Linked DNA regions of Macaca mulatta. The protein of the gene in region 1 purifies or fractionates together with the protein of each later gene. This does not show direct contact. Links are inferred from orthologs where the notes say so. Each region holds a gene or a part of one and is shown on either strand. Other genes may lie near its edges. The genes, in order: PPP2R2D, CDCA4, IER5, PPP2CB, SERTAD4, PPP4C and ECSIT.

Region 1 (3,500 bases):
TCCCCCTTGCTTCCATTACCGAGGTCGACATTTTCTTCCTGCTGAAGAAAAGAAGATCAGCTGGCACGGTACAAGCTGCCCAGGCACCAAGGCCTGCGGCTCCCTCTCCTATGCGTCTTCTGGTGGCCACACTGAGACGCTGGACAGCAAAGTCTTCCTGGGTGGCTCAGCTGAGCCCCTCCCTTTGTCCTCTCCTTGCAGCTACATGCACAAAACTCCTCTCACTGCACCAGGACTATGCTTCTTGGTGCAAACCCCACAAGCCTCCACCGGCTCCAGGGACTGGCAGGGTGCACAGGTGGGTGCTGGGGAGCTGAGGATGTTCCATTTCTTGGTCTGGGGCTGACTACATGGGCATGTCCAGTCTACAAACATTCATGGAGCTGGTCACTTATAGGGCAGACATATTATTTGGAGGTATGTATTATTCATTACACTTCATCTGAGGTTAAAACAAAAAGTAAAAGGTACCTCCCGCACCCATCTCTGTGTCGAGTGCGGCGGTCAGGGAGGCTTCTAGGGAAGCCCAATTCACACTGAAATGGAAAGGACAGAGAGGAGAAGGGTGCTGGCTGGAGGCCGCCTGCGGTCAGAGGTGAGAGCTCAGGTGTGAGGAATAGCATCACACATGAAAAAAGGACAAAGGTCTGCATCTCCCTAACACCCAGCTGGAAGAAAAACATAAGCTTTAAAATCAAAACAAAAAATTAATGAGAGTATTTTTTGTTATTCTTGTAATTAGAAACCAAAAGGGAGAGCCTTGAAAGCTTAGGGAAAAAAAATCTCTCAACTGAGTCTTGTCTGGCCAAATTCTGTAAAAAACGAACGTGGAGAAGTGTGTGTAGTGAGACTTCCCCCATTTTAACCCGGTTAGTGCTGACCACAGCCTTGGATTCTTTAGATCAAGAAGAGTCAGTTCAATGAAGTTCAGGCTTAAAAAACACACACCTGCCACAATCCTCTAACAAATCTCCCATTAATCAAAACACATGATGGCTGCAATACTTACAAAGATTCCTTCTTTTATTTAAAAAAATTTTAATTTACATATAAAATAATTTGTTTTCATTTTTAGAAATGGGGTCTGGCTATGTTGCCCAGGCTGGTCTTGAACTCCTGGGCTCAAGTGATCCTCCCATCTCAGTCTCCCAAAGTGCTGGGATTATAGGTATGAGCCACCGTGCCTGGCCAAGATTTCTTCTTTTAATTATATCCCTTTTCTGGCACTAAAATAATTTAAGAGCAAAAATTTAAAAATAGCAACATTTCTGACTCTTACCCAGTTAGGCTCAGATACATAAATAGCCCATTCTGAACTGTTAGAGAGGTACAATCTCAAATACTGACCTAAGTCATTGTACAGAATTACCTGTCTGTGGTCTCTTCCCCATGCACTGACTAATGAAATAACTATACTTCTCACAAGCCTTCAGTAGGGCCACCAATTATACCCATTTTATTTAGGCTAAACCTACAAAAGCAGCCTTGAATAAAACCAAGACTGGGCCTAGTAAAGGCCTACTGTTTTCCCAAAATGAGCATGTGAACTCATGGGTTGTGGCAGGGTCTGATCGGGAGGAACAGGGGTTTCTGAGGGTGGGGTATGCACAGGTACCTGGGTGGGAGGTGGTGTTGCCTGTAGAAGAGATGGACGAGACTGGAGGGGGTCAAGTGCCCACCCTCAGGGGTCCCATCACACTTCTACTTTAGGGTCAGCAGTTTCATGATAAAGGAACTGCACAACTCGTGTCACTGTCACTAAAAATGATTTACACTAATTCATGGATGCAAAGGCAGCGGCACTGCGTATCAGACACCACCACCATTTTGGATTGAAACATCTTGGCTCACATTAGGACCCTATAAACTACATTTTCAGCACATGCCACAGCCTTTCTCACTTTGATGAGCTCATAGGAAACAGGGTGATAACCTCGATGTGAGAAGTCTGAGGACACTCCTCCTGGGAAATTGGGGAATGCACGACCCCAGGTGCACCCACCCCGCACGGCAAAGCTGGAGAAATGGCATCAGAACAGACCCAGCGTCACTCCCAGGGGCACGTGTGTTAGGGAAAGGCTTCTGCAGCTCAGCGTCCTTCTCTGTAGCACTTCAAAGGCTAATGTGGAATGGGCTCGCTCACTCGGTCTTCACTTGATAAACAATAGCGTAACGGGCTGAAATCTCATTAAAAACCAGCCACCCAACCCAACCAACTCAACCAGCCACACCCACCCCCCGGCAACGAAACCACCCAACCAATTAACCAACCAGCCAACCCACCCACCCACCCACCAACCGTTTTCAGATCTAGTAATGGCACTCCCTTGGGACCAGGCAGGGTTTCCTTCCAGGGGACACACCTCTGCACAGGTGCTGGTTTCTCACCAAGACACACCCGGGCTGGAGTCCAGTTTGCTGGACACCCTTCACCATGTTCCATCTAATTTAAGACACACATCAGTCGTACGTAGCACCAGGCCAATTATAAGACATTGAGGTTTTAAGTTTTACCCGATTTCATAGATGTTAAAATGTGAAAAAATCTAGGCCCTGGAATTGACGAAATATGGTCATTTCATACTGCATGATGCGGGGGGGGGGTGGGGATAGGGGGGCGCCAACAATGGAGCAAATAACTTAACAATTAAAAAAGTAATGATGCTCATGGATGGACAGGTGAAGAGTTCTGAACTGTCAGCATCTGCCTAAGTCAACCCCAAAGAAATGCCATGAGAACATCCTGAATGCATCTTGGTGGCCCACAGCCTATCTTTCGATCTGCAGCCTGTGCTGTTTCACCTGCGAAGTGTTCGGAATTCCATCTGAACTTCAACTTGCCAGGTGCTGTTCCGAACCTTCAGAGAGAAGGGTGGTCGGTACGTCCACCAAGATTTCTGCTGTAGAATTAGATGTGAGTTTTCCCCTTAGTATTGCAGTATTGTCTAAAGACCACATGTGACTTTTTGCCTTTGTGAAAATAGGAGAAAGACCTTGCTTTAAACACATGTGTCATGAGCGCAAATGCCTTTCATGACTCAGGAGGCGGACCTCACAGTATTCCACCCAGCAGGACTCTCCAAACAGCAGACGTAAACATTTATTCTTAACTTCTGAACGGCATTGGATAAAGAAAAGGCAACATATACCCGTAGTGCTGTGATTCTAAACGGATCTCGAAGTCTTCCATCTTCGTCTTTCAGGTTATAACCTTCTGCTCTTTTATCCCGTTCACTTATTTTCCATAATTTTATAGTTTTATCTGAAAATAAAAACCTCATTCTCCATATGAAAAGAAAAACTGTAACATGCATCACTACTGTTTGAGTATTATATTAGAAAGCGGTGTGGTCCTATGTTGGTTTATAAGCTATGGGGTCTTTGAACATGAATATTTCCAATTGGAGGTGTTTTGCACAATAAACAAAGATGTGGAGACGTGCAGAGTAACATCCTAGTAACTTGCACGTGTGGTTTTTGTTGCATACTTTGAATTTTCA
Region 2 (4,023 bases), on another chromosome or scaffold:
GCTGAGGCGTGAGGATCACTTGAGCACAAGAGTTCGAGGATACAGTGAGCCATTATCACGCCACTGTCCTCCAGCATGGGCGAAATAAACCCGTTTTTTTTTTAAATAAGAACAGTGATTCTTTTCAAGCATAATTCAGATCCCAGTTCCTTCTCTGCTGACCGTCCCAGTAGTCTCCATCCCACTCAGAGAACAGCCTCAAAATCACTCCACCTCTCACATTTAAACTTTCCCACGAGATCACAGGGTTCTTTTTCACTGCACTGAGACTTCTTCCTGCCCCTGCCTCGGGCTTTGTCCTAGCCATTCCTCTCCTGGAATACTCTTCCACTCTTCCTTTTGGTGCTTTAAGACGCCTCTTATCCTAGAGACCTATGTGAGCAGCGCCCCAACGTCACTCCCAGCTTTTTCCGACAGCATTTCAGCATTAACCACTGACCTTGGCGCATCCGCATCTGCGGATTCAGCTGAGGATTCCCCCACCACCAGCACAGGGTTCTCAGCTGCAGCCACGCCTGCCGGGCCTGCTGCAGGCGTTCAAAGAATATTAGACTCTTGTATCCTATTTAAAACCTTTTCCACTAAGAGATTTAAAACACGTGTTTCCCTGCTTTCTACTTTCACGTTACATTTCTTACGTGTAAACCTGGGAAGCCTCTAGAGATAACCGCGGTTTCTGGAGAGGCTGGGATAGACTTCGGAGCCCAGGCCGCCCGGGAACTGCCGTTCCCGGCTCCTCCCCACCCCGGCACGGATCCCTCGGCAGAGAAGTTAACCTAGGCAGAAGGGAGAGAGGATCAGCCCCTACCAGGCTGCCCCGCCACGCCCTCCCGAGGGCACCACGTGGGCCCCCAGCGCAGGCGCATTCAGTTTAGGACCCGACGTGCGGAGACCTGCGAGCCGGCGGGGCTGGGCGGGGCCGGATTGGGCGCGGGGAGACCTGGGAGCCGGCGCGGCGTGGGCGTCGCGGGGCCCGGCGCGGAGGCGGAGGCGGGGGCGGGGCGACCGAGGGCGCGCGCGAGCCCCAACGGCCGTCGCCGCAGCGCGGGAACACGCGCCGCAGATGCCCCGCCCGCGCGGGTTTGAACAAGAGGCCCCGCCCCCGGTCCGTGGGTGGCCAATCAGTGGGCACGGCGCGCGGAGGGCGCAGCGTCGACCCTTTGTGGACGCTGAGTGGCGGTCGCACGCCCCGCCCCGCGCCGGCGGGCGCTCCTCCCTCAGCGGCGGGAAGCTGGTGGCGGCGGCGGCGGCGGCGGTGGCGGCGGCTGAGCAGAGGAGCCGGCGGGCGGCCTCGCGGGTCAGGTGAGCGGGTCTGGCTGACCGCGAGGGCGTCTACGGCGGCGCGCGCGTTTGTGCTGCCGGGCGCGGAGGAGCCCGGGGGCGGTACGCGGAGTCTGTGGCTCCTGGCGCTGGCTTGGGTCCGGGGCGGAGGCGGCGCTCAGGGTTCCCGCTGGGGCTGCCGCGGGCGCCCTCGCCGCCCTCCTGGGCGCTGGTTCCACCGCGGGGTGGCCGCTGCTGAGGGGGCCCGGGGAACCAGAGGGGCCCGGGCCGCCGTCTGCGTTCCATGCGGATTGCGGAGCTGGGGCTTCGTCGAGGCCTCCGGGCGGCCCCACACGGGAGCGACTTCGCGAGGGCCCGGCTGGGGTACGCAGCGGCGTTTCCTGTACCTCGGCTCTAGTTGCCGCGGAGGGAACGCCGGGCGCGCCCCGCCACGGCCGCCCCCGCCCTGTCCCCGGCCGACCTCACTAACCGGGCCAGGGCGCGCTGCAGCCCCCTCAATTGGATCCCGGCCGCGGAGAGGGCCGAGGATGTGGGAGGAGGCCCAGACCCCGGGCGGGTCGGCCAGCGCCGTCTTTCCTGGGCTCCTCCGGCGTTCCGAGGTGGGATTAGGAAGAGTCCCCGAGACATTTGCAGAAGTCAGAGGCAAGCTTCCCTGCGCGTTTTCAAACGCTTCTCGTCCAGTAAACAGGATCGTCGTGACAAAGGCTCCTACAGCTTGCTGGAATAGAGGGTCTCCGCTGCCTCGCCTCTCCTGTGGCCTTCGTGTGGGACTCACGAGACGGCAGGACCCAGATAACCGTTCTCTCAAAGTGAGCCACAGAAAAACATCGCCTGTTCCCAAAACTTAGGTTTTATAAACTTTCTACGTACAACCACTCTATTTTCAAGTGTCACCATGTTTTATAATTAGGGTGGAAATCAACACAAAGTGAGTTACACCCTTTTTCTAGGAAGAGTGGTAGGCTTTATCTTAGAAAAGGGGCCAGGAAGTTTCCCTCAACTTGCCATTGGAACATGTTTTCAGGGAAAGGAAGGTGTATCGTTCCAAGTAACAAAAGTACCTGAAATTAGCTGGGCGCGGTAGCTCACACTTACCAGCACTTTGGGAGGAGGCCTAGGCGGGTGGATCACCTGAGGTCCCCAGTTCGAGACCAGCTGGCCAACATGGTGAAACCCCGTCTCTACTAAAAATACAAAAATTAGCTGGGCGTGATGGCGCATGCCTGTAATCGTAATCCTAGCTACACGGGAGGCTGAGGCAGAAGAATCACTTGAACCCGGAAGGCGGAGGTTCTCCAGCCTGGACGACAGAGCAAGACTCCGTCTCAAAAACAAAACAAAACAAAAATAACCCCTGAAATTAACGTATCAGTAATTGTTCAGGAACAGCCTCCAGCAGACTGTAGTGGAAGGTGGAGCTCCCACTCAGTAGATCTCAAGACTGAAGACCTTGCTCCTCTTCTTCCTGTTTTTCCGATAGAGTATTTCAAAGCTTATCTGATGTGTGAGAAATGGAAATTGTTGATAATTTGCTTAACCCGAAACTTCGAAGTGGCTGCAAGTCCAGCTGTGAAGGTGACAGGTTAGGTCAGAGTTGAGTCTGTCCCCAGCAGTCCCAGCCCTATTGGTCAGAATCTGGGAATCTGCATTTTCAGCCAGCCTCATGGGATTGCTCAGCCACGAAGGTGTGGCGGCTGCTGCTGTAGTGAAGGGCCGGTCCCTCAGCTGTACTCTGCTTGCCTGAGTAGCACTGCGGGGCTGCTCTCTGCTGGCCTCTGCCTCCGTGGGCTTAGTTTACTCTGTCCCTAGTGGCCTGTAGGCTGTCCCACCTGCCATGTCAGACATATCTTCAGTCTGTCTGACCCTCTTGGTTTTTCTCTTTCTGGTTGATGCTTGGTTTAGAAGCCTAAGGGCGGTGCTGGGAGTTGACTGAGGGGTGAACGCCTTGGCTGTCCCGTTGACACCCTGTGGAGTTGGTGGGATTTTAGGCATTTAACTAGATGTGTAGAAGGAGCTTCAAAACTGAGCAGGGGGTCAGGCATGGTGGCTCACACTTGTAATCCAACACTTTGGGAGGCTGAGGTGGTCGGATTGCCTGAGGTCAGGAGTTGGAGATCAGCCTGGACAACATGGTGAAACCCCGTCTCTGCAAAAAATACAAAAATTAGCCAGGTGTGGTGCCACGTGCCTGTAGTCCCAGCTACTCAGGAGGCTGAGGCAGGAGAATCGCTTGAACCTGGGAGGTGGAGGTTGCAGTGAACTGAGATTGCATCACTGCACTCCAGCCTGGGGGACAGAATGAGACTCCTTCTTAAAAAAAAAAAAAATTGAGCAGGGAGCTAGGCTCCACAGCCCCGCCCGTATGGTATAGGGCCCTTCCTTCCATATTAGAAGGAGTTAAGCAGCCTCAGGCCAGAGTCACACTGGAGGCCCTCAGGGAGCTGGGCCCAGCCCAGGCATCCCTCAGGGCTGGTCAAGATGATGCTCTTGGTGACTTTGTCCCAAACACAGATATGGCCCAATTCAGGGTGATCCTCACAGGCCAGCTTCTCCGGGCCCAACCTTATCCTCTTCACCCCTGAACGCACGTTGTGGGTGACAGCTCTTAGGGGTCACGCGACTGTAAAAAACACCTGTGAGCTTTACTCCTTTTTGTATTAATAGTAATAAACTTGTTAGCATTTTAAAATATTGGGTACAACACAGAATTAGCTGCTGGAGATTTGGAACATTGGACAGCAA
Region 3 (4,104 bases), on another chromosome or scaffold:
TTTGGACAAGTCAGTCTCTTTCATCTTCCTATGTCAGTTCGAATGGGCTTTTAAGGTAAACTATCTAAACTTTTTTTTTTTCAATTACAAAGCTAAAAGATGACCCATATTAACAGCTTAACAGGAAACAAAGTTTTGCTGAAAAACATTTTTGCAGATAAGCAGGGCTTCAAAAGCTGATGGTTAAATTACTTAATAATATATACCCACATATTGGGTGACAAATTGGTCTAAACCGACCTTAGAAAAGCCAGTTGTAGCGGTAGGTTTCAAGAACCTGGCAGGTCGCTGATATTAGTATCTAATAGCATTCCTCTGATCTAGGAGGAAAAATTAAACGTGTCTCTCTTGATACTTAGTGGAGTCAGTAAACAATGTTCTCAGTCTGCGAATGACTGATATTAAGAACCACACCTTCAATTTTCTAGCCCAGGCCCTGGTTTCCCTCCTCCCACTTCCCTCCCAACCCAGGCAGGTTATTGCAGACAAGCAGGCAGTTACGTTGCTTCAAAATATTTAATACGTGTTAGACACGTAGAAGTTACATTTTTATACAAAAATCAATACAACGAAGGAGAAAATACTGTACAAAAACCTTATCAGCTCCCCCAACCTTTATATAACAAAGACTGGAGTCACCATATCTACAAAACCATAAGGTCTTTCCACTTCGGGCTTCTGTCTGTAAACTTTCATTAAACACTTTTTAAAAGCACTGTGTAGTAGTTCTGACCTAGAGCTTTTAAAAATATATCTTTTCTCTATAAACTCCATTATTTCCAAGCTTGAACTCTTCTGTGAAGTTCAAGCTTTTTCTCCCCTGCGGGGAAGCAAAGGACGGTTAATATGCCCCTTTCCTAGAGTAATCACAGGATATAAACGTTTCTTCATTGGGAGAGAAAGGTGGGGAGGGACAGAAGGAATCCAAGTCTGTGCTGCTGCCTAAATCCCTCTCGTCTTAGGAAATCCTGTGCGGAAACGCCACTCCTGGCCCTGAAGCGGGTCTAGCTTTCCGGTGAGGGGTGGGTGTAAAGTCCCTCCCTCCCCGGAGAACGAATGGGGAACTCCCCGGCCCAAACCTTTTAGCCGCTTCCTTCTCCACGCAGCCGGCAGAGGAAAGTCCCTGTCTGCCCCCAATCTCTTAAGCCCTGGGGAAGGAGTGGTGCATTCCAGAACAAAATAGTCTTAATGCCACAAGACAAACTTACATACACAGACATACACAAACACAAAAAGTTAAAGATCGTCCTCTTCCAATGAGCCTCAAGCTCCCAGGTCTCCAGAAAAGCCAGATGCGCCCGGGGGCAGTTTGCGATGCCCAGCGGCAACCAGTCTGCCCAACGCGCTCAGCGGCCGCGGTCTCTGGGCGTCCTCGCAGCCAGCAAGGGCCCGACCCTCACTTCGAGGACGCCCGCTGCTCAACCTCCTCCCCGCATGGGGGCCAAGGGCTCAGAAGGCCACGATGGCTGTGCTCCAGGGGTTCATGTCTCTCAGCACCGGCTTATCGCAGCAGATCTGCCCGGGCTCGGCGGCTTCCGGGCCGCTCTCCTCTCCCTCCTCTTCCTCCCTGCCGCCCCCGGGGCTTTTCCGTAGGAGTCCCGAGAAACTGGAACCGAAGATGCTGATGAGGTTAGCCACGTTCCCGGTCTCCATCTCCTCCGCGTCGTCGTCCTCTCCTCCACTCGGCGGCTGCTCTAAGTTCCGGCGGGGCTTCTTGAGCGGGGTCGAGCCGGGCGCCGGGCAGCCCGCTGGGCCGCCGCCCACCCCCGCCGCGCCGCGCTTCCTGGGGCACACTGCGGGCTGCGCGGGGGGCTCGTCCTCGGCTGGTCGCGGCGCGCAGCAGCAGGCAGTGCGGGGGGTCGCGGCCGGTGTACCCGGCGGGTCCTCCCCGCCTAGGGGGCAGCCGCAGGGGCGGCGCGCGGCAAGCGATCCCTCGGGGAAGACGCCCCAGCCTCCGGCGGGACCCTCGGCTTCTCCGGCCGCCGCCTGGCGCGGCCGCTCCACGCGGCTCCAGGCAGCTTCCGTCGCGTCCGCCTCTCCGCCCTGAAGAACGTCCCCGACTCCGGTCACCGTGGTCACTGGCACCTCGTCCCCTACCCGCGGCGCGTGTGAGACGGAAGGGCGCTCCGGTTGCGGCTCGGTCTCCGGCCAAGAGGCACGGGCGACGGGCGGGGGCGGCTCTCCCCAGCCGGCGGGTGGCCCGGCCGCCGGCTCCCCGGGCTGCTGCTGCGGTGGCGGCGCCGGGATCCCAGCGGGACCGGCCAGGTAGAGGCCGGGGCACGGGTCGCTCAGGTAGACCTGGCGGGCGCTGCGCAGCACCAGCGAGACCAGGAGGTTCTTATGCAGCTTGATGCCGCCGCGCTGGACCCGCGAGTTGTAGATCTTGCCCAGGGAGATGCTGACGATTCGGTGAGCCTCCAGCTTGAACTCCATCCTGCCTCCCCTGCACAGGGCCGTCGGCGCCGGGGTGTTACGTTCGGAAACTGGGAGGGAACGGGAGGCGCAAACAAGTCCGCCCCGTGGGCACACCCTTGATCACCTAAGACTCCGAAGAGAAATGACTCCGGTGACGCGCGCTCACTGCCCCGCAGACCTCTCTACACCAGACAACTACCCCGTTTCGGGTCCGGTAGCTAAACAGGGCAGCCCGGCCGCCCCGCGCCTTATATAGACTCCTCGACCGCCAATCACGAAGGGCCGCCAACCGTTCCGCGGCTGGCCGGCGCGCCCTCGTGCGCCGCGCACGGCCAATCGGAGCCCGAGGAGGGGCGCCAAGGCCCGTTCGAACGTTAGTCCCGCGGAGCAAGCTCTTAAAGGGGGCGACGGATTGCGGGCGCAGACCAGGCCGATGGGGAGTGAGTGTTGGGGACCGTGTTGGGGACCGTGCTCGAGGGCGCTACTGTTTGGAGTTACAGATTCTGGCTTGTGCGATGGCTTGCCGGAACCAAAGCGAACAAAATATTCGAACTTTCTTCCGAGCACGGTGTTGGACTCTGTTCTGCCATAAAGTCCTGATCTTTTCCTGATCAACTCCGCCCTAACCGGCCACGCCACCATTTCCAGGCCCGCCACACCTGTAAGCGATTCCCCTCAACCCTGGCAAAAATAGAGATGGTGGCTATACGCGGCGGAGGACACCCCTGGATAACAAATAGTATTACTGCAAAGTATTTGGCTGTCATTATTTTTGGATGAGCCGCTTTCCCCGCTAGAGTCACATACACTCTTAGCAGCTGTCAGTTCTAACACCAAAGAAAAAGGGGATTCTAAAAGTTTTTGGCTAGGTTCTTGGCTTCTTATCAAGGAATTGTGTCTAGATACAAAGTTACTGGTTGCCCTCTAAAGCCGGCATCTTTCACTTTGTTCTCTAGATTCTGGAACAAAGCCAGTTATCAAATAGGTTAAATGGAAGATGTTACAGGTTCTCCACAATGATTTTTTTCCCATTTCCATTTTTCCATTACAAGGACTGATCAGTCAACCCTTGGAAAAATCGAGCAAGGTCTGAAAATAAAAAGAAAGAAGTCCTGTGTTCCCATGATGATGTCATAATTTCATTTTGTGTCAAGGTAAAAATATAGCGCTAGGGAGTTCCAGAATTTTCTGGTCAGTCAACAATGTAGTCCATCTACTGGTCCTTATATCAGGGCACAATTACCACAGGGTTGCCCAGGGTCCTGGACTGGAAACATGGAGTCACTTCCAGTTAGTTCCACCGAAGCTCCACCACAGACCTGCCTGAGGACTCTGGGTAAATAACCTCAGACCGCTTCAGTGTCTCCACCGCTGAAAAGGGGAAGTCACATACACATCTGCTTTATTGTACAGACGATAAATGACAACTTCTCAGCCACAAACTGAATGAGAAAACTAAGCACTGCTTTCTTGGAGTCCATGTGGAACCCTGGGCCTGATCCTGCCCCAGGGATTGGCCAAGCAATGAATTTATTTAGGAAAAATACCAGTGAAGGGTGGGCTTGATCATGACCAATTGACAATCTCCAGAAGATGTGATGGCTCAGTAGCATTACCTGTGCCCACAACTGATGGTAACTGAGACTGCAGGCTCTGAGACCCAGTTCCTCCCCCCTCTAGGAATTTTCA
Region 4 (4,078 bases), on another chromosome or scaffold:
AGGAAGAAATTTAGAACAAAGATAGGTAGTTTGAGATCTCCATGATAGTGGACACCATTTTCCATTTGGTGAGGTCCAGGTTTCTGAAAAACAACTCAGGGACATATGTTGTCTCCAGTTTATATAGGGAAGCAAACATTTTGTGAATCTAACGTCCTTGGCTACTGTCTTAAGCTATTATTACCTTCTTGCTTATCAGGTTGCTCATTGACTTATTGAGGAAGTTAGGTGCCTGGAATGTCCCTTCGGGGAACTCAAGGTTTTCCTTTATTTCCATGCTTGGGGAGGGTGGGGGTGGGAGTGCCTAGAAGGCCCCTAAGAGGGGTCCCTGCTGTGTCTCACTCAATAAATATTTGTTGAATGAACAAATCATTACAACTCAGTACACATTGCAGAAAACACAGCCAAGAGCGCTGGAGCTAGAAGGGCCACAGATTATCCTACAGAGCAATCATTTCACTTTTCTAATGTTGAAAGGGAGGATTCAAGATGTTAGGGCTACAGGCAAGCCTGGAAATAATTAATTTACTCCACCATTATTGAATGCCTACTATTGAGTGCTAGACTCTGGGGAGACAATGTTAAGGGAAGCCCAAGTTTTCCAATTCCCTGTTCCGAGCGCTGAAAAAGCACTGCAGGAAGCTAAAGTGAGGACAAAGTTCCCGGAGATCAGGATATCTAAAGGGAGAACCAGCAGAGCTTGGTCTGGGGCAGGGTTGGGACAGGAGGGATCCTGGCCTCCTCCGACCGTTTCTCCGCCAAGCCACGCGAGGGCGCCGTTCTGCCCCTAGCGCGCCGTGTCCCGGCGGCGCCGCCGCCTGCTCGCCTTTTCCCGGCGGAAATGCCCGAGCGATGACGGAAACCCGGAGGGAGGGAAGAGAAAGAGCGAGAGAAGGGGAAAGATACCCGGGAGAGGCCGGCAGGCGTGAGGCGGGCCTGAAGCGGTAGCTGGCGGCCTTCGTCCGGCGAGAGCTAGTCCGAGGGCCCGCGCCGCCCTCCCAGCACCTCCCCGCGTCCTTCACCGACTCCTGCGGCGCGCGGCCGGGCGGGGAAGGGCGGGCGGGGGTCTCCTACAGGCCTCGCGCTCGGAGCCGCCTGCTGGGCTTGGGCGGGGCGCGGGGACCGCGGCCGCCCTCCCCGGCTCGGTCCTCCCCTTGTGGGATCTGGCGACGGCGGCTGAGGGAGAGGGGAGCGGCGCCCGGGCCGGGGCCGGGGGCGGGTGGGGAGGGGGGAGGGCAGCGGCCGGGCCGGGGGTCGGGATCCGCATCGGGATCGGGCCGCCATGGACGACAAGGCGTTTACCAAGGAGCTGGACCAGTGGGTCGAGCAGCTGAACGAGTGTAAGCAGCTGAACGAGAACCAAGTGCGGACGCTGTGCGAGAAGGTGAGGGCGCCGCGGGGGCGAGTGCGGGAGCGCGGAACTGGGACGGGCCGCAGCTTTCCTGCCCGCCCCGGCCCGTCCGCACGCTGGCCCCTGGCCCGGCGCGGCCCACCGGGGGCCCGCGGGGCTGTGGGTCCGGCTCCGGCGTCTACCCGGGCGGCCGGCCCAGCCGTTCCGGCCCCGGGGCGTTGGGCTGCCCTCGCCCGGCCCCTCTGCCTCCGCGTGGTACACGCCCCACGCCCCCGGCCCAGATCCTGGTGGTGGGAGGCTCGAGTGCGGGCGGGCGGGCGGGGAACCATAGCCCCTGGAGCCAAGCCGGAGGTTGGTCGGGGTCGCCTGCGCTCCACTGGAGTTCCTGCCACTCTGGCATTTCCCGAGTGGAATAACGAAAGCGACATCCGAAAAGGACCATTTTCAGACCAGTTTCTGAAAATGCACCTAAAATTAACCAGAATGTCGTGCCTATTAATGAACTTGTTAATAAATGTAGAATTTTTGTCAGGTGAACGGGGCACCTCAGAAATCACTAACTCAAGCCGGGCGCGGTGGCTCACGCCTGTGGTCACAGCTACTCGGGAGGCCGAAGCGGGAGGATTGCTTGAGCCCAGGAGTTAAAGACCAGCCTGGAGCGCAGAAGTTAGAGACCAGTGAGGCCCCGTCTCCACAAAATTTTTTTTTTTTAAATTAGCAGGGCGTGAGGGCGGGTGCCTGTAATCTCAACTATTCAGGAGGCTGAGGTGGGAGGATCGCTTGAGCCCAGGAGGTGGAGGCTGGCTGCAGTGAGCCGAGATCGCGTCACTGCACTCCAGCCTGGGCGACAGAGCGAGACCTTGTCTCAAAAAAAAAAAAAAAAAAAAAAAAAAATCACTGACTCTTGAATGTGTCAAGCGTTTGTTTGTGGAGAGGTAGGCGTGATGGCCAACTGTGATTTTTAAAATAGAGGTTGACTTTGGTGGAAACAGATGGTGACTGGTCTTTGCGTTGAGTGGCTCTTGGAAGTAAAGCGTTGATTCAGAAACGAGAGCTGGTCTTAAGTTTGGGAACAGTGTTTGCTGGAAATAAATGGGATGTGTGTTTTCATGCACGATAACACTTTGCAGAAAGTTTTTGTTTTTAATATATAAAGTTTTTTTCTTTTCCAAAGAATAATAAAACATGCAGGTGATCAATTTCGTTCTTGTACATCGTGTGTGATCTTCACTTTCTGAATTCTGTATCCATTGTTTTCTTAACTCCTGGAATTATTTCGATCTCTCCATCTTTAAAGTCTAGAGTTTTCCAAATTCATCCTTTACAAGGTGGACTAAATAATTTTCATGTATTTTTATGTTAAAAATTCTCACTTGAAGTCCATGAAGAAGTAACGATGTTATTTTAAGATGTATACAATTTTCTTAACCATAATGTTTGGAAGTCATGACGTCGCAGAAGTAGGTGAAGAAAAGATTTTGTTAGTCTAATTTTAGGACACTCTTAAAATCATGAAATTTACTTAGGAAAGGAGCACTAATAGATGGTGTTAAGTTAAAATAGTATTTTTAACGGGTGTAATGTTGGCTGGGGCCTTTGTGTATTAAGTAACTGTTAACACAGGAGGATTTATTTTTGTATATAGAAGTGCCAAGCAGGTGGTACTTTTCTCTTTCTGAAACAAACTGCTTACTTGTGACTTCAGTCGACGTTCATTTTTATTGTGATAACCTGTAATTTCATGAGGCTTAAAATGTATGCTTTAAACATCTCTCTCAAGCTCTAATGCCAAGTGAAATGTACAGGTTTGAAATGAGCTGAGTCAGTTAACCTGACTATGAGCATCAGAATACAGACTTGAAGTTAAGGGCAAAGTGTTAGTTGAATCAGTTTTTTCCATTGACTCTTTTTTTTGTTTTATTTTTGTTTTGAGACAGAGTCTCACTCTGTAGCCCAGACTGGAGTGCAGTAGTGCCATCTCTGCTCACTGCAACCTCCACCTCCTGGGTTCAAGGGATCCTCCTGCCTCAGCTTCCCGAGTAACTGGGATTACAGGTACACGCTGCCATGCACTGCTAATTTTTGTATTTTTAGTAGAGATGGGGTTTCGCTTTGTTGGCCAGGCTGGTCTAGAACTCCTGACCTCAAGTGATCCCTCAGCCTCCCAAAGTGCTGGGATTACAGGCACGAGCCTCGTGCACAGTCCCCATTGACTTTCTAATAATTTTAAGGTGAACTCCTAGAGAAGAATATCGTACCACTGCTGTACTTTGAAATAATCACACCGGAGTGTCAACGATCACTTGAGGAAGCTTTCTGTATTTGTCGAGAGAGATTATTTTTACTTCGGCTCCTAAATAAATCAAACTAACAGTTCCTAGGACTTCACAGGTATATTTAAGATTATCTCTTGTATCTTACTAGCTTTTTTTTTTTCTTTTTAAGATGCAGTCTTGGTGTATCAGTCAGGCTGGAGTGCAATGGGGCAGTCACTGCTCACTGCAGCCTCGACCTCTGGGGCCCAAGGGACCTTCCCACTTCAGCCTCTCAAGTAGCTGGGACCACAGGCATGTGTCACCACACCGGGATAATATTTTTTTGTATGGGGTCTCACCATGTTGCCCAAACTGGCCTTGAACTCCCAGGCTCAAGCGATCCTCCCGCCTTGGCCTTCCAAAGTACAGGGATTGCAGGAGTGAGCCATCACTCCCAGCCCTTTTTTTTTTT
Region 5 (4,272 bases), on another chromosome or scaffold:
AGATGCTATTATGCATGTGAACTGGAAACATGGCATAACAGTATTTATCTTGGCTATTTTTTTGTTCACAATATCTAATTTTAGTAAGTTTTTCTTCTGTAAATTGAGAACTGTTACACACAAAACCCTAAACTAGAGAGGCTGAGTTCTGCAAGTGATTTATGTAAATCTGAATAAAACGTGAATGAATTGGGATTATTTGGGAACAGGGAGGAGATTTTGCAATTGAGTCTTCCTAGTCTATTTAAAACTTAACACTGGATGGATGTTAACAAATTAAGAAAGCAAGTTGACTGTTCATGAAAAATTGGACACTGCAGGATTAAGCACAAATGCTTAACATGAATCTGTCTTCATATTATATGTAGAGATCTAAACTGTCATAATTCTCAGTCTGATGAGATTTATAATTCTGCTACTGATGTCAGCAGTTCAAGTCCACAAATTCATGTTCTATTAATATTAAACAAATAAAAGGATATACATTATGACAAAATTTATTTTCTAACATCTGAGGTGGTGGATTCAACAGGAGGGTGTTAGAGTGTGTTTTGCCTATGCATGGGTTTAAAAGATTAAAAAAACAAAAACAAAAACAAGCCCCAACCCTTCATCCTCAGGCTCCTGAATGTCTGTTTTGACACCCAGGTGGCTGTAGTGGAATGACATGTCCAGCATCCCCAGAAGGCTGAGGGCTAGAATGCCAAGCTTTTCCAGCAAATGTTCATAGTAAAGTTACCAGACATTCCTACACAATTTGTTTTTTTCCAGATGAGTTGTGCTTATTCTTTCCTCAAAGCAATTATGATGCTAATAAGAGTGGCTGGCACACAAAACAGGATAGCTATGAATTCAGCGGCACCTTGAATCTAACAAGGGGCGCCAGGTTATTCTTCGCTCACCTCTTCTTCCATCTGTCATTGAAAACTGGAGAGCATTTGATTAAGATCATTACAGCAGTTAGCAGTCTGATTCCAGCACTGGAAAGCAGGGAAGTAAAGGGCTATTTCCACCCTCGATCGATGCTGCCAGTCTTAAATGGCATCAAGCCCCTGACCTCCACATTGTCCTAAAATGATCTCAATAGCTTGTCCGGCTCCTGGTGGTGGTAGTGGAAGGGACTGGATGGGCGGAACAAAATCCTTCAACCCTTCTAAACAGACAGATGTCGCTTTTCTGCCGGTCCCTGCAGTACACCTGTCTGCCCTGGGAAGTACATGTCTCAGCTGCAGCCCTACGAGGTCAAGAGCTTGAAGCTGGGTCCTGTGGTTGGGGCTGCAGGTGCTGGGTGGGCTTAAAGAGCACGAAGGGGTGCTCCGATGTCCAAGCCCCGGTGCCCAAGGTGTGTGTGTGTGTTGGCGGCGGGGCGGGGGGTGGGGGGGTCCGAGGTTTGGAGGGCCGACCTCTTGAAGGCGGGCGGCAGCCACCAACCACATTCTGGCTCCCGCACAGACACACCCCCGGGGTGTCGGTGCCGCAGCCCTCAGCCCCTCCCGGGGTAGCCAGCAGCTCCCGGTCGGCCGCTGGCCGCAGGAGAAAGTAAACAACACCCCAAGTGTCCGGGAACAAAGGCAAGTTGTCTTTCTACGGTGCCGGAGCCGTGTGCCTCTTCGGAAGAATAAGAGCTATTATTATTCTTTATGTCTTATCCTTTTTTTTTTTTTTTTTTTTTCAACCAAGTTTCCTTCTAAGGGAAATAAACACCAAAGGTAGGATTCCAAGGAAATGACTCACGGCGGCTGGCAGGGCTCTGGCGGGGCTGGCCCGGGCCCCCGCGCTCCAGCCCGCAGCAGATGCCGGCCCGGCCCTCCCTCCCTCCCTTGCCGGCCAAACCCGCCGGAAGCCCCCGGCCGCGGGAGCGCCCTGCGCCCATGGGACCTGGCGGCGAGGACGCCTCTTCCCTGCTTCTGCGACCGTAGCTGGGCACTCGGAAAGTTGCTAGGGCCGAAGAGGCTGGAGGGGAGGAAGGGAAGAGAGAGGCGGAGGCGTGGACCAGGCGGGCAGCAGCCTCAGCCCGCCGGGGAGGTGAGCTGAGGACAGAGGAGCCGCCGCCGCCCGCAGCGCGGCTCTGCTGCCTGGGAGGAGGGTGCGGGGGCGGAGGTGGCGGGGGACAGAAGGTGTCAGCTACTGCATCAATTCCTTTTTCTTGCAAACGCGCGCTCCTGACATCCACAATCCCTCTCTCCCCACCTGCCAAGCGCCGCGGCATCCGGACCTGGGGGAACCCCTCCTACTGACCCCCGTCCCCTAGGATGAGGGATTAAGCGACCACCGAGGACCCTGAGGTCTCACCAGAGCTTCTGACCCCACCCGCCCCTGGAGTTGTCTCGGTGCGCGCGGGTGGCAGCCCGAGCAGCCCTAGAGGAGGCGGCGGTTCCCGCCCTGGTGAAGGCGCCGCAGCGCACGCTAGCCCAGGGAAAAGCCCGCGCCGCCTCCGCGCCCAGCTGTGCCTTGGCCCCCACGCCGCCCCGACCCCGCTCCGGCCGCTGCGAGTCCACTCGGTGACCTCGGCGCAGCCCTGGTGCCAAGAGGGCGCGCGGGAGGCCGCGTGGGTGCCCGTCTGAGCGGGCAGGAGCCCCGGGGGGCCCTCGCCCTCCACCCGGCCCGGCCCTCCCTCTCCACCCGGCCCGGCCCTCTCCCGCCCCCGCGGCCTGCGCCCAGCCCGGCTCTTACCGCGGGGTCAGCGGGGAGGCAGCGGCCGCAGCGCTTGAGCCGCTGCTGGTCCGCTCTGGGCTCGGCGCCAGCCCGGCTGCCGGTGCACACTCACGGGTCCCGGCCCGGCGGCCCGCTCGGCGGTGACTGCGGGTGCGCGGCGGGCGAGGGTCCCGGCAGGTCCCGCCGCCGCGACTCGGGCGCTGCGCCGCCGTCGCTGCAGACGGTTATGGTAATGAGCGGCTCTGTCTAGCGAGCAGCGTGTGAAACCCGTCAATCCTGTTTGCCATTTCCCCGTGGATTTCCGAGGAGAGGTTCTGCAGGATGCCCCCAGGGTGAGAGAGGGAACATGACAAGCGCGCCCGCTCTCCCTCCCTCCCTCTGCTCCCGCCGCCGCCGCCGCTCCTCAGGCTGCACACGGGGCGCCTTTCCCGCACCCCCACCCCAGCCCGCCCCCTGCCTCCTTCCCTCCTTCCCGCCCTCCCTCCTCCTTCTCCTCCCCTCCCTTCCCGGTGCCCGGGGACACGCGGGCGCAGCTCCAGCCCGCAGCCCAGACCCCACGCGCTCTCCGGCTCCCGCCCTAACCCTGGGGGCTCGGCTCCAGCCGAATAATGTATTCACACTGCAACCTTCCGAGATGTCTTGTCTTTTAAAATTTGGTTTAGTTTTGTTGTTGTTGTGTGTGCGTGTGATTAAAAAAAAAATCTGTGCCTTTCCCACCGTTTGCAAAAGACTTTCTTCTCCTTTGCCACAGCAAACGGAGATGAGAAACAGATGTCTTTGCAGGACCAAACAGTTACTCTCCCTCGCCGCCCCCGCCCGTTTCCCTCCTGAGCTGCGTACGTATAAAAAAAAAAAAAAAAAAAAAAAAAAGCAACCTTGGTCCTGCTGCAACTTGAATTGGCAACTCTTTCTGGGTGGGGAGCCTCCAGGGAAAACCTCCAGGAAATAAAAAGTAATACAAGAGATTGTCCTTGCTGAAGAGAATGTAATTTAAGCCTTGGAATCAGAATTTTTGCAAATAGTAATTTTCTCCTATAGTGGCCTCAGAGTTTATTTTTTAAAAACATTAATTCATAACTTCTGTCTAGGGACCCCTCCATAGCCGAGATGGGTCATTTTAGGTGTAATGAAGGCAGAGGCTTGGAAGGCATAGACCTAATAAAATCGGGAGAAGGCACCTGCACAAAAGTGTTACAAAGACTATAATGTTTGTTTACTGCCACTATGCCAGATGTGCTAAATATAACACTTCTTTAAAACAGTGATCCTCCGACTGTGAAAAACCAAACCTCTGGCTGCCTGGCACCCTAGGAATCAAGAAGACGCACAGACTGAAAATCAAGGGAGGAAGGAACAAGATCAAGGATGAGGATTAGCATCTGCAAATTGAACTCTATCTAATTTGCATGTTTATTTCTTAGAATTGTAATTAAATTTGTGTAATAAATGTTTTCCATTTCATTTGTACACTTAAAACTTGGGTGACTGACATGCAGTTAAGTGAATTTCCTTTTTTTTTTTTTAAGCAAATGTAGTTTATTCAATAAAGTAGCAAACCAATATTAAACATAATTAGAACTAATCTGTTTTGAAGGTGTTTCTGTTGAACTTTGTACA
Region 6 (3,218 bases), on another chromosome or scaffold:
GAAACACTGAAGCTCCTGTGTTTGGCCCTGGGCGGGGCTGGGTGAGCAAAGGCTTTGCTGGGAGACCCAGACCCAGATCTAAACCTGTGTTTCCAGCTGCCTGACCTAGCACGAAATCTACCAGCTCTCTAGGCCCATCTCTTCAGGAAAGTGGAGAAATCAGAATCTCGTGATGCTGTTAATAAGGCTGCATGAGAACAGAGCCCTCTCCCTAGCACTGGGGAAGCCAGCGGGCAGCGGCCCCTGGAGGCCCTGGGCAAGCTGACTGGCCTGAGCCTGGCCATCCTGGCAGGTCGGGGCCCTGAAGCAGTCAAGGCCCTGAGGTCCACCCCAGGTCCCAGGCCAGCAACCCTATGCATTCCCAACCAAGTCTGGCAAAAACCCAAAGACCATTTTTCTTCTTTTATTAGAATTTTTTTTTTCTTTTTTTTTCTCAAAATTTTTATCTAAAAACAAACAGAAAAAAGAAGGAAAAAAAGAAAAAAAAATTATTGGAAACTTCATGGTTCAAGTGGGGAGAGAGGAGAGGAGGAACATGGAGCTGGGTCTCCAGGCCTCTCCAGAGAAGTCCTCACCCTCGAAGCACCCTCTTGGGGAAGAGCAGAGCCGGGACAGCTCCCCCCACAACGCCCAGCCTCCGTCTGAGGAAGAAGGCAGAGTCACAGTGGTCCGAGGGCCAGAAGGGCTGTAGGGGCAGGGGCCGGGGGGGTCACAGGAAGTAGTCAGCCACGGGCTTCTTGGAGGGGATGCCCCGTGTCTCTTGGGGAGCGGCCTCAAAGATGATGAAATCTTTCTGGAGATGCTCGTCCAGCTCCAAGATGGCTGCCACATTTCCACAGCTGGAAGGCGGGGCAGCAGGGTCAGAAGCAGCTCGGCTCAGATGCCCGCCCCTCCCAGCCCGGCCCAGCTGGCTCACCGGTAGCAGTAGTTGGGTGCCGACCACACAGTGAGCACGGTCTCATTGAAGTGCCACTTGTAACCTTCCATCACCAGTTGGTGGGCACGGCAGATCATGTCAATGTCGTTGGCTGCATTGAACTGGGCCACCACGTCACTGCCAAATAGGTAGCCAGCCCCTCGGGGGCTCACGCCCCAGCCTGTGGTGTCTGATGGGGCAAGGGAGGGATGCAGAGGGATATCCTCAGGCTTCTCCGGCTGCCAGCACTGCCCCTTGAGGGTGAGCAGCCTGGCCCCTCCCCAAGTCCACCAGAGGCCCATGGGACCAGAGCATGGGGCCTGAATATGGTCTGTGGGATGGTGGGGACCAGGACAGCAAATGTAGGGGCAGATGAGCTCCAGAGGAGAAAGAATGCCCAATGGCTGGGACCTCCTCATAATGACAGTGATCATATAATCCCTGGCCAAACAGTACACAGGAGTGAAAGGGGTGCTCCCAAAGACAGAAGGGCACCCAGTGCTGTCACAGAGCGGTCGGGAGTGGCTGTGGAGCAGTGGCTGCATGTGTGCGTGTGTCTGTGTGTGTGTGGCTGTGGAGCAGAGGCCTCACGTGCGTGTGGCTATGATGGAGCAGACAGAGAGTGTGTGTGTGCGCGTGTGTGCCTGTGTGTATGTGTGACAACAAGAACTCTGGCTGGTCCTCAGAAGACCTGACTTTAAATCTCAGCTCTGCTCTACACTAGTGGAGAACCCACAAAAAGAGGGGTCTCAGGGGGCTATCATTCTGGGGTTCTGACCTCTGAAGAAGCTGCTGTCATGTTCCAAGATCCCTTCATTTCAGGGAGCAATGACTTAGTTGTCCACTACAGCCCTCTGAGCCATGCCCCAAGCCACTGTGCGTTCAAAGCATCTGTCATGCAGGCCTCCCTGCTCAACCTCCAGGGTTCCAGCCATTTGGTAGGTGGAGGACAGATGCCAGTGAAGGCCAGCCCTGCTCCCTCTCTTTCCCAACCCCTCCTGGCTGTCCCTGTCTGCCCCTGCCCACATGCCCTCACCTTCTGGGTCAGACCAGAGGAGGTCACACATGGGCCCATCATGAGGCACCTCTTGCTTTCGGTCAATTGTCCGAATCTGATCCAGGGTCTGGATGGAGGGGGAGAGACCCCCGTGCACACAGAAGATCTACAGGGGACAGCAAGGAAAGAGGGCGGGGCTGAGGCCTGGAGCCCCCCTCCTCTCCCCGTCCCATGGAGCCCTGAGCTGGCCTACCTTGCCATCGATGATGGCTGACAGGCTGAGGTAGTCGAAGATCTCGGTGCAGTAGCGCCACACAGTCACCGAGCCGTACTTGCGCAGGCACTCATCGTAGAATCCGTAGACCTGCGTGATCTGGCGACTCTCATGGTTGCCCCGGATGAGCGTGATGCGGTCAGGATAGCGAACCTGGGGGTGGCCACCAAGCCGGGGCTGGCTCCTAGACGGTCTCTCCACACATCCCTCTCTGACCTCCTCATGCCATCCTCACAACCACTGCCCAGCACACTCCTGGAACCTCTCACCTGATCGTGTGGCATCAGCCACCTCCCAGGCCTGCAGGACCCCTCCAGAGAATGTAAACCTGACCCATCCCCATCAACTATGAACCTAATGGCTCTTCTTTCACCTGCCAGACACAGACCGGGTCCCTAAGCAAGGCACCCAGGCCCTTTGTCATCTGGCCCCACACTGCCTCTCCCACCAGTGGCATCAATGACCTGCCACATTCGCAACAGTGAGCCTCTGCCCCTCCCAGAATGCTGCCCCACTGGCCTCACCACCACCACCCCTGAGTCTCTGACCACCCCCAAAAGCAGGATCGGTCCATCATCAGTGACACAGCTCCCAGGTGGGGCTGGCCACAGTAGGAGATGAGGGTAGAATGGACTAAGACAGGCCCGACCCGAGGTGGCCCAGGTTGGGGGTGCAGAAGCCGGGGACTACCACCTTAAGTGCCAGCAGCAGGAGGAACGTTTCGACACTGTAGAAACCACGGTCCACAAAGTCCCCCATGAAGAGGTAGTTGGTCTCAGGGACATCGCCACCCACCTGTGGGGAAGTAGAAAGTTTTGCCCTGTCCTAAACAGTCCCCTACCCCCTACCTGTTTCTGTCCAGCAGAGGCCCTTCTTCCACAACTGCCCATCTAACTCGGGGCCTCTTGCCCCCACTCCACACCCTCAAATTAAGGCTCTCACCCTCGATTAAAGGGGTCTTCTAGTCATCCCCGTTACATTTCGCAGTACTGGCCACACACTTACTCTGAACAGCTCTTTGAGGTCATAGA
Region 7 (3,500 bases), on another chromosome or scaffold:
GACGGCAATCCCACACTCCTGCTGCCGAGGGTAGTGGACGAAGATGCGCTGGATGACGTTGCGAGGCCGGAAGACCTCTTTGGGGAAGATGTCGAGCAGCTGGTTGTACACAGCCAGGTCCCGCTCGACGCCATACTCCCGCATCTTGCGCAGGGCCAGGTAGATGAAGTCAATGTGGCCCCGCTTACGCACGCTGTGCTCCCCAAATTTCTGCACCGCCTGCAGGAAGCTGGCCTTGTCCCGTTCCCCGCTAGGCGCCTGCCCAAACAGGTCCTCATAGGGCACCAGAGCCTTGGTGGGCCTCTGCCGGGGTTCCGGTGGGCTGGAAACCAGGGACTGTTCAGAGCTATGGGGGGCTGCGCTGCAGTGCAGGCCCCGAGGGAGCTGGCGAGGGACCTGGGGAGGGAGGAGAATTGCTGGAATCCGGCACCTCCCAGTGTCCATGGGGGCGCCAGGCTGGCTTTCCTGGGAGAGGTCCCAGTGGCCTCCCTGAGGACTTGGAGGTATGGAACTGTGGTTACGAACCCAAGATTCGACGCCATTACAAAGTGCAATAAAACACAATGCTGGCACAGTAGGGAGGGAACAGGTACTGTTAGCCATGGCTATGGGGAGCTGGTAAAAACTGCCACGGAGGCAACTTGGTAATAATCACAGTGATGACACGCACATGCCCTATATATATATATATATATATATTTTTTTTTTTTTTTTTTGAGACAGGGTCTGGCTCTGTGGCCTAGGCTGGAATGTAGTTGTGCTACTAGGGCTATTGCAGCTTTGAACTCCTGGGCTCAAGCAATTCTCCCCCTCTGCCTGTCCAGTAGCTGGAACTACAGGTGTACACCACCGCACCTGGCTAATTTTTCCATTTTCAGCAGACAGGAGTTACGCTGTTTTGCCCAGGCTGGTCTTGAACACCTGGCTTCAAGTGATCATCCCGTCTCCACCTCCCAAAGTGTTGGGATTACAGACATGAGCCACTGTGCCTGGTGGCCCTTTTTGCTTTTAATTTTTTTTTTTTTTTTTAAGACAGTCAGCTCACTGCAACCTCCGTCTCCCATGTTCAAGCGATTCTCATGCCTTTGCCTCACAAGTAAGCTGGACTACAGACGTGTTCCACCATGCCCTGCTAATTTTTGTATTTTTAGTAAAGATGGGGTTTCATCATGTTGGCCAGGCTGGTCTCAAACTCCAGGCCTCAAGTGATCCACTTGCCTCGACCTCCCCAAGTCTTTTGTTTTTTTTTTTTTTGAGACAGAGTCTCGCTCTGTCGCCCAGGCTGGAGTGCAGTGGTGCAATCTCCACTCACTGCAAGCTCCACCTCCCGGGTTCACACCATTCTCCTGCCTCAGCCTCCTGAGTAGCTGGAACTACAGGCGCCCGCCACCACGCCCAGCGAATTTTTTGTATTTTTAATAGAGACGGGGTTTCACCATGTTAGGATGGTCTCAATCTCCTGACCTCATGATCCGCCCACCTTGGCCTCCCAAAGTGCTGGGATTACAGGCGTGAGCCACCGCGCCTGACCTAGCTTCCCCAAGTCTTCTGATTATAGGCATGAGCCACCGTACCCAGCCCCTTTCTTTTTCTTTTTTTCTTGAGATAGAGTTTCACTCTTATCACCCAGGCTGGAGTGCAATGGCGCCATCTCAGCTCACTGCAACCTCTGCCTTCTGGGTTCAAGCGAATCTCCTGCCTCAGCCTCCCAAGTAGCTAGGATTACAGGTGCCTGCCACCATGCCCAGCTGATTTTTGTGTTGTGTTTGTTTGTTTTTCCTGAGACGGAGTCTCGCTCTGTTGCCAGGCTGGAGTGCAGTGGCACGATCTCGGCTCACTACAACCTCTGACTCCCTGGTTCAAGCAATTCTTCTGCCTCAGCCTCCGAAGTAGCTGGGATTACAGGCACATGCCACCACGCCCAGCTAATTTTTTGTATTTTTAGTAGAGACGTGGTTTCACATGTTGGCCAGGCTGGTCTTGAACTCCTGACCTCATGATCCACTCACCTCAGCCTCCCAAAGTGCTGGGATTACAGATGTGAGCCACTGTGCCTGGCCTAATTTTTGTATTTTTAGTAGAGACGGGGTTTCACCATGTTGGCCAGGATGGTCTCGAATTCCTGACCTAAGGTGATCCACCCACTGCAGCCTCCCAAAGCGCTGGGACCCTTTTTTCTTTAAGAGATGGAGTCTAGGCCGGGCGCGGTGGCTCAAGCCTGTAATCCCAGCACTTTGGGAGGCCGAGACGGGTGGATCACGAGGTCAGGAGATCGAGACCATCCTGGCTAACACGGTGAAACCCCGTCTCTACTAAGAAATACAAAAAACTAGCCGGGCGAGGTGGCGGGCGCCTGTAGTCCCAGCTACTTGGGAGGCTGAGGCCGGAGAATGGCGTGAACCCGGGAGGCGGAGCTTGCAGTGAGCTGAGATCCGGCCACTGCACTCCAGCCTGGGCTACAGAGTGAGACTCCGTCTCAAAAAAAAAAAAAAAAAGAGATGGAATCTAGCTATGTTGCCCAGGTGGGGAGTGCAGTGGCTATTCACAGGCATGAGCCAACTGGTCAGCACAGGAGTTTTGACCTGCTGTTTCCAACCTGGGTCAGTTCACACTTCCTTAGGCAACCTAGTGGTCCCCCAAGTCCCAGGAGGTTACAATATTCATGCAAAACTTAGTGCAGGACACTCCATCAGCATAGTGCACAACAGCCCAGAACTCCTGGGCTCAAGTGATCCTCCCACCTCAGTCTCCAGAGTAGCCAAACTCTGGTTCTAGATGACACAGTAACAAATTTCTTATTTTAAATTGAATTTTTAAATTAGAAGGATTACATATAAGGCATCTTAAAAATATACAGCTAGTTAGCAAGGCTGTACTGTGCTTTGATTGCACCACTGCATTGCAGCCTGGGCAACATAGTGAGACTCCATCTCTCTATGGAAAAAATTAAAAAATAAGCTGGGCATGGTGGTGTATACCTGTAGTCCCCGCTACTTAGGAGGCTGAAGCGGGAGGATTGCTTGAGCCCAGGAGTTCCAGGCTGCAGTGAACTACGATTGTGTCACTGCACTCCAGCCTGAATGAGAGAGTGAAACCTTATCTCTAAAAAATAAGTGAATGTATGTGTGTTTATCTACACAGACACACACACACACACATAAATACATATATAGCTAACAAGTTAAGAGCCAATATTAGTCCAGGCTTGGTGGCTCACACTTATAATCCCAGCACTTTAGGAGGCTGAGGTGGGCAGATCACCTGAGGTCAGGAGTTCCAGACCAGCCTGGGCAATCTGCTGAAACCTCATCTCTACAAAAAAATACAAAAATTAGCCAGGCATGGTGGTGTATGTATGTAGTCCCAGCTACTGTGGAGGCTGAAGTAGGCAGATCAACTGAGACAGGGAGGTTGACGTTGCAGTGAGCCAAGATCACGCCACTGCACTCCCGCCTGGGCGACAGAGTGAGATCCTGTCTCAAAAGAGACGATATTTACCA

What was found.
Region 2: the proteins of PPP2R2D (region 1) and CDCA4 purify together in Homo sapiens (affinity purification with mass spectrometry; 3 studies listed by BioGRID and IntAct, counting the BioPlex papers as one, with this or other methods). This does not show direct contact. The link is inferred for Macaca mulatta from reciprocal best matches to the Homo sapiens genes PPP2R2D and CDCA4.
Region 3: the proteins of PPP2R2D (region 1) and IER5 purify together in Homo sapiens (affinity purification with mass spectrometry; 3 studies listed by BioGRID and IntAct, counting the BioPlex papers as one, with this or other methods). This does not show direct contact. The link is inferred for Macaca mulatta from reciprocal best matches to the Homo sapiens genes PPP2R2D and IER5.
Region 4: the proteins of PPP2R2D (region 1) and PPP2CB purify together in Homo sapiens (affinity purification with mass spectrometry; 6 studies listed by BioGRID and IntAct, counting the BioPlex papers as one, with this or other methods). This does not show direct contact. The link is inferred for Macaca mulatta from reciprocal best matches to the Homo sapiens genes PPP2R2D and PPP2CB.
Region 5: the proteins of PPP2R2D (region 1) and SERTAD4 purify together in Homo sapiens (affinity purification with mass spectrometry; 3 studies listed by BioGRID and IntAct, counting the BioPlex papers as one, with this or other methods). This does not show direct contact. The link is inferred for Macaca mulatta from reciprocal best matches to the Homo sapiens genes PPP2R2D and SERTAD4.
Region 6: the proteins of PPP2R2D (region 1) and PPP4C purify together in Homo sapiens (affinity purification with mass spectrometry; 3 studies listed by BioGRID and IntAct, counting the BioPlex papers as one, with this or other methods). This does not show direct contact. The link is inferred for Macaca mulatta from reciprocal best matches to the Homo sapiens genes PPP2R2D and PPP4C.
Region 7: the proteins of PPP2R2D (region 1) and ECSIT purify together in Homo sapiens (affinity purification with mass spectrometry; 3 studies listed by BioGRID and IntAct, counting the BioPlex papers as one, with this or other methods). This does not show direct contact. The link is inferred for Macaca mulatta from reciprocal best matches to the Homo sapiens genes PPP2R2D and ECSIT.

What each region holds. Positions count from the first base shown.
Region 1 is NC_133414.1:144,033,910-144,037,409, reverse strand, and holds part of PPP2R2D (serine/threonine-protein phosphatase 2A 55 kDa regulatory subunit B delta isoform), read right to left. Parts: intron 3,263-3,500; coding exon 3,150-3,262; intron 2,898-3,149; exon of another isoform or gene 2,003-2,897; intron 1-2,002. UniProt on the Homo sapiens protein: Substrate-recognition subunit of protein phosphatase 2A (PP2A) that plays a key role in cell cycle by controlling mitosis entry and exit. Involved in chromosome clustering during late mitosis by mediating dephosphorylation of MKI67.
Region 2 is NC_133412.1:178,452,459-178,456,481, reverse strand, and holds the start of CDCA4 (cell division cycle-associated protein 4), read left to right. Parts: upstream 1-1,223; 5' UTR 1,224-1,808; coding exon 1,809-2,090; intron 2,091-4,023. UniProt on the Homo sapiens protein: May participate in the regulation of cell proliferation through the E2F/RB pathway. May be involved in molecular regulation of hematopoietic stem cells and progenitor cell lineage commitment and differentiation.
Region 3 is NC_133406.1:38,498,210-38,502,313, reverse strand, and holds IER5 (immediate early response gene 5 protein), read right to left. Parts: upstream 2,640-4,104; 5' UTR 2,434-2,639; coding exon 1,450-2,433; 3' UTR 501-1,449; downstream 1-500. UniProt on the Homo sapiens protein: Plays a role as a transcription factor. Mediates positive transcriptional regulation of several chaperone genes during the heat shock response in a HSF1-dependent manner. Mediates negative transcriptional regulation of CDC25B expression.
Region 4 is NC_133413.1:32,598,432-32,602,509, reverse strand, and holds the start of PPP2CB (serine/threonine-protein phosphatase 2A catalytic subunit beta isoform), read left to right. Parts: upstream 1-1,278; 5' UTR 1,279-1,282; coding exon 1,283-1,384; intron 1,385-4,078.
Region 5 is NC_133406.1:67,970,106-67,974,377, reverse strand, and holds the start of SERTAD4 (SERTA domain-containing protein 4), read right to left. Parts: upstream 2,801-4,272; 5' UTR 2,674-2,800; exon of another isoform or gene 2,199-2,673; intron 2,026-2,198; coding exon of another isoform or gene 1,726-2,025; exon of another isoform or gene 1,626-1,725; intron 1,572-1,625; exon of another isoform or gene 1,457-1,571; intron 1-1,456. Other genes in the region: uncharacterized protein LOC712687, read left to right, coding at 1,726-2,025, 3,407-3,491, 3,918-3,934.
Region 6 is NC_133425.1:28,478,803-28,482,020, forward strand, and holds the end of PPP4C (serine/threonine-protein phosphatase 4 catalytic subunit), read right to left. Parts: coding exon 3,193-3,218; intron 2,983-3,192; coding exon 2,881-2,982; intron 2,341-2,880; coding exon 2,167-2,340; intron 2,080-2,166; coding exon 1,953-2,079; intron 1,107-1,952; coding exon 917-1,106; intron 840-916; coding exon 710-839; 3' UTR 501-709; downstream 1-500. UniProt on the Homo sapiens protein: Protein phosphatase that is involved in many processes such as microtubule organization at centrosomes, maturation of spliceosomal snRNPs, apoptosis, DNA repair, tumor necrosis factor (TNF)-alpha signaling, activation of c-Jun N-terminal kinase MAPK8, regulation of histone acetylation, DNA damage checkpoint signaling, NF-kappa-B activation and cell migration.
Region 7 is NC_133424.1:12,248,716-12,252,215, forward strand, and holds part of ECSIT (evolutionarily conserved signaling intermediate in Toll pathway, mitochondrial), read right to left. Parts: intron 397-3,500; coding exon 1-396.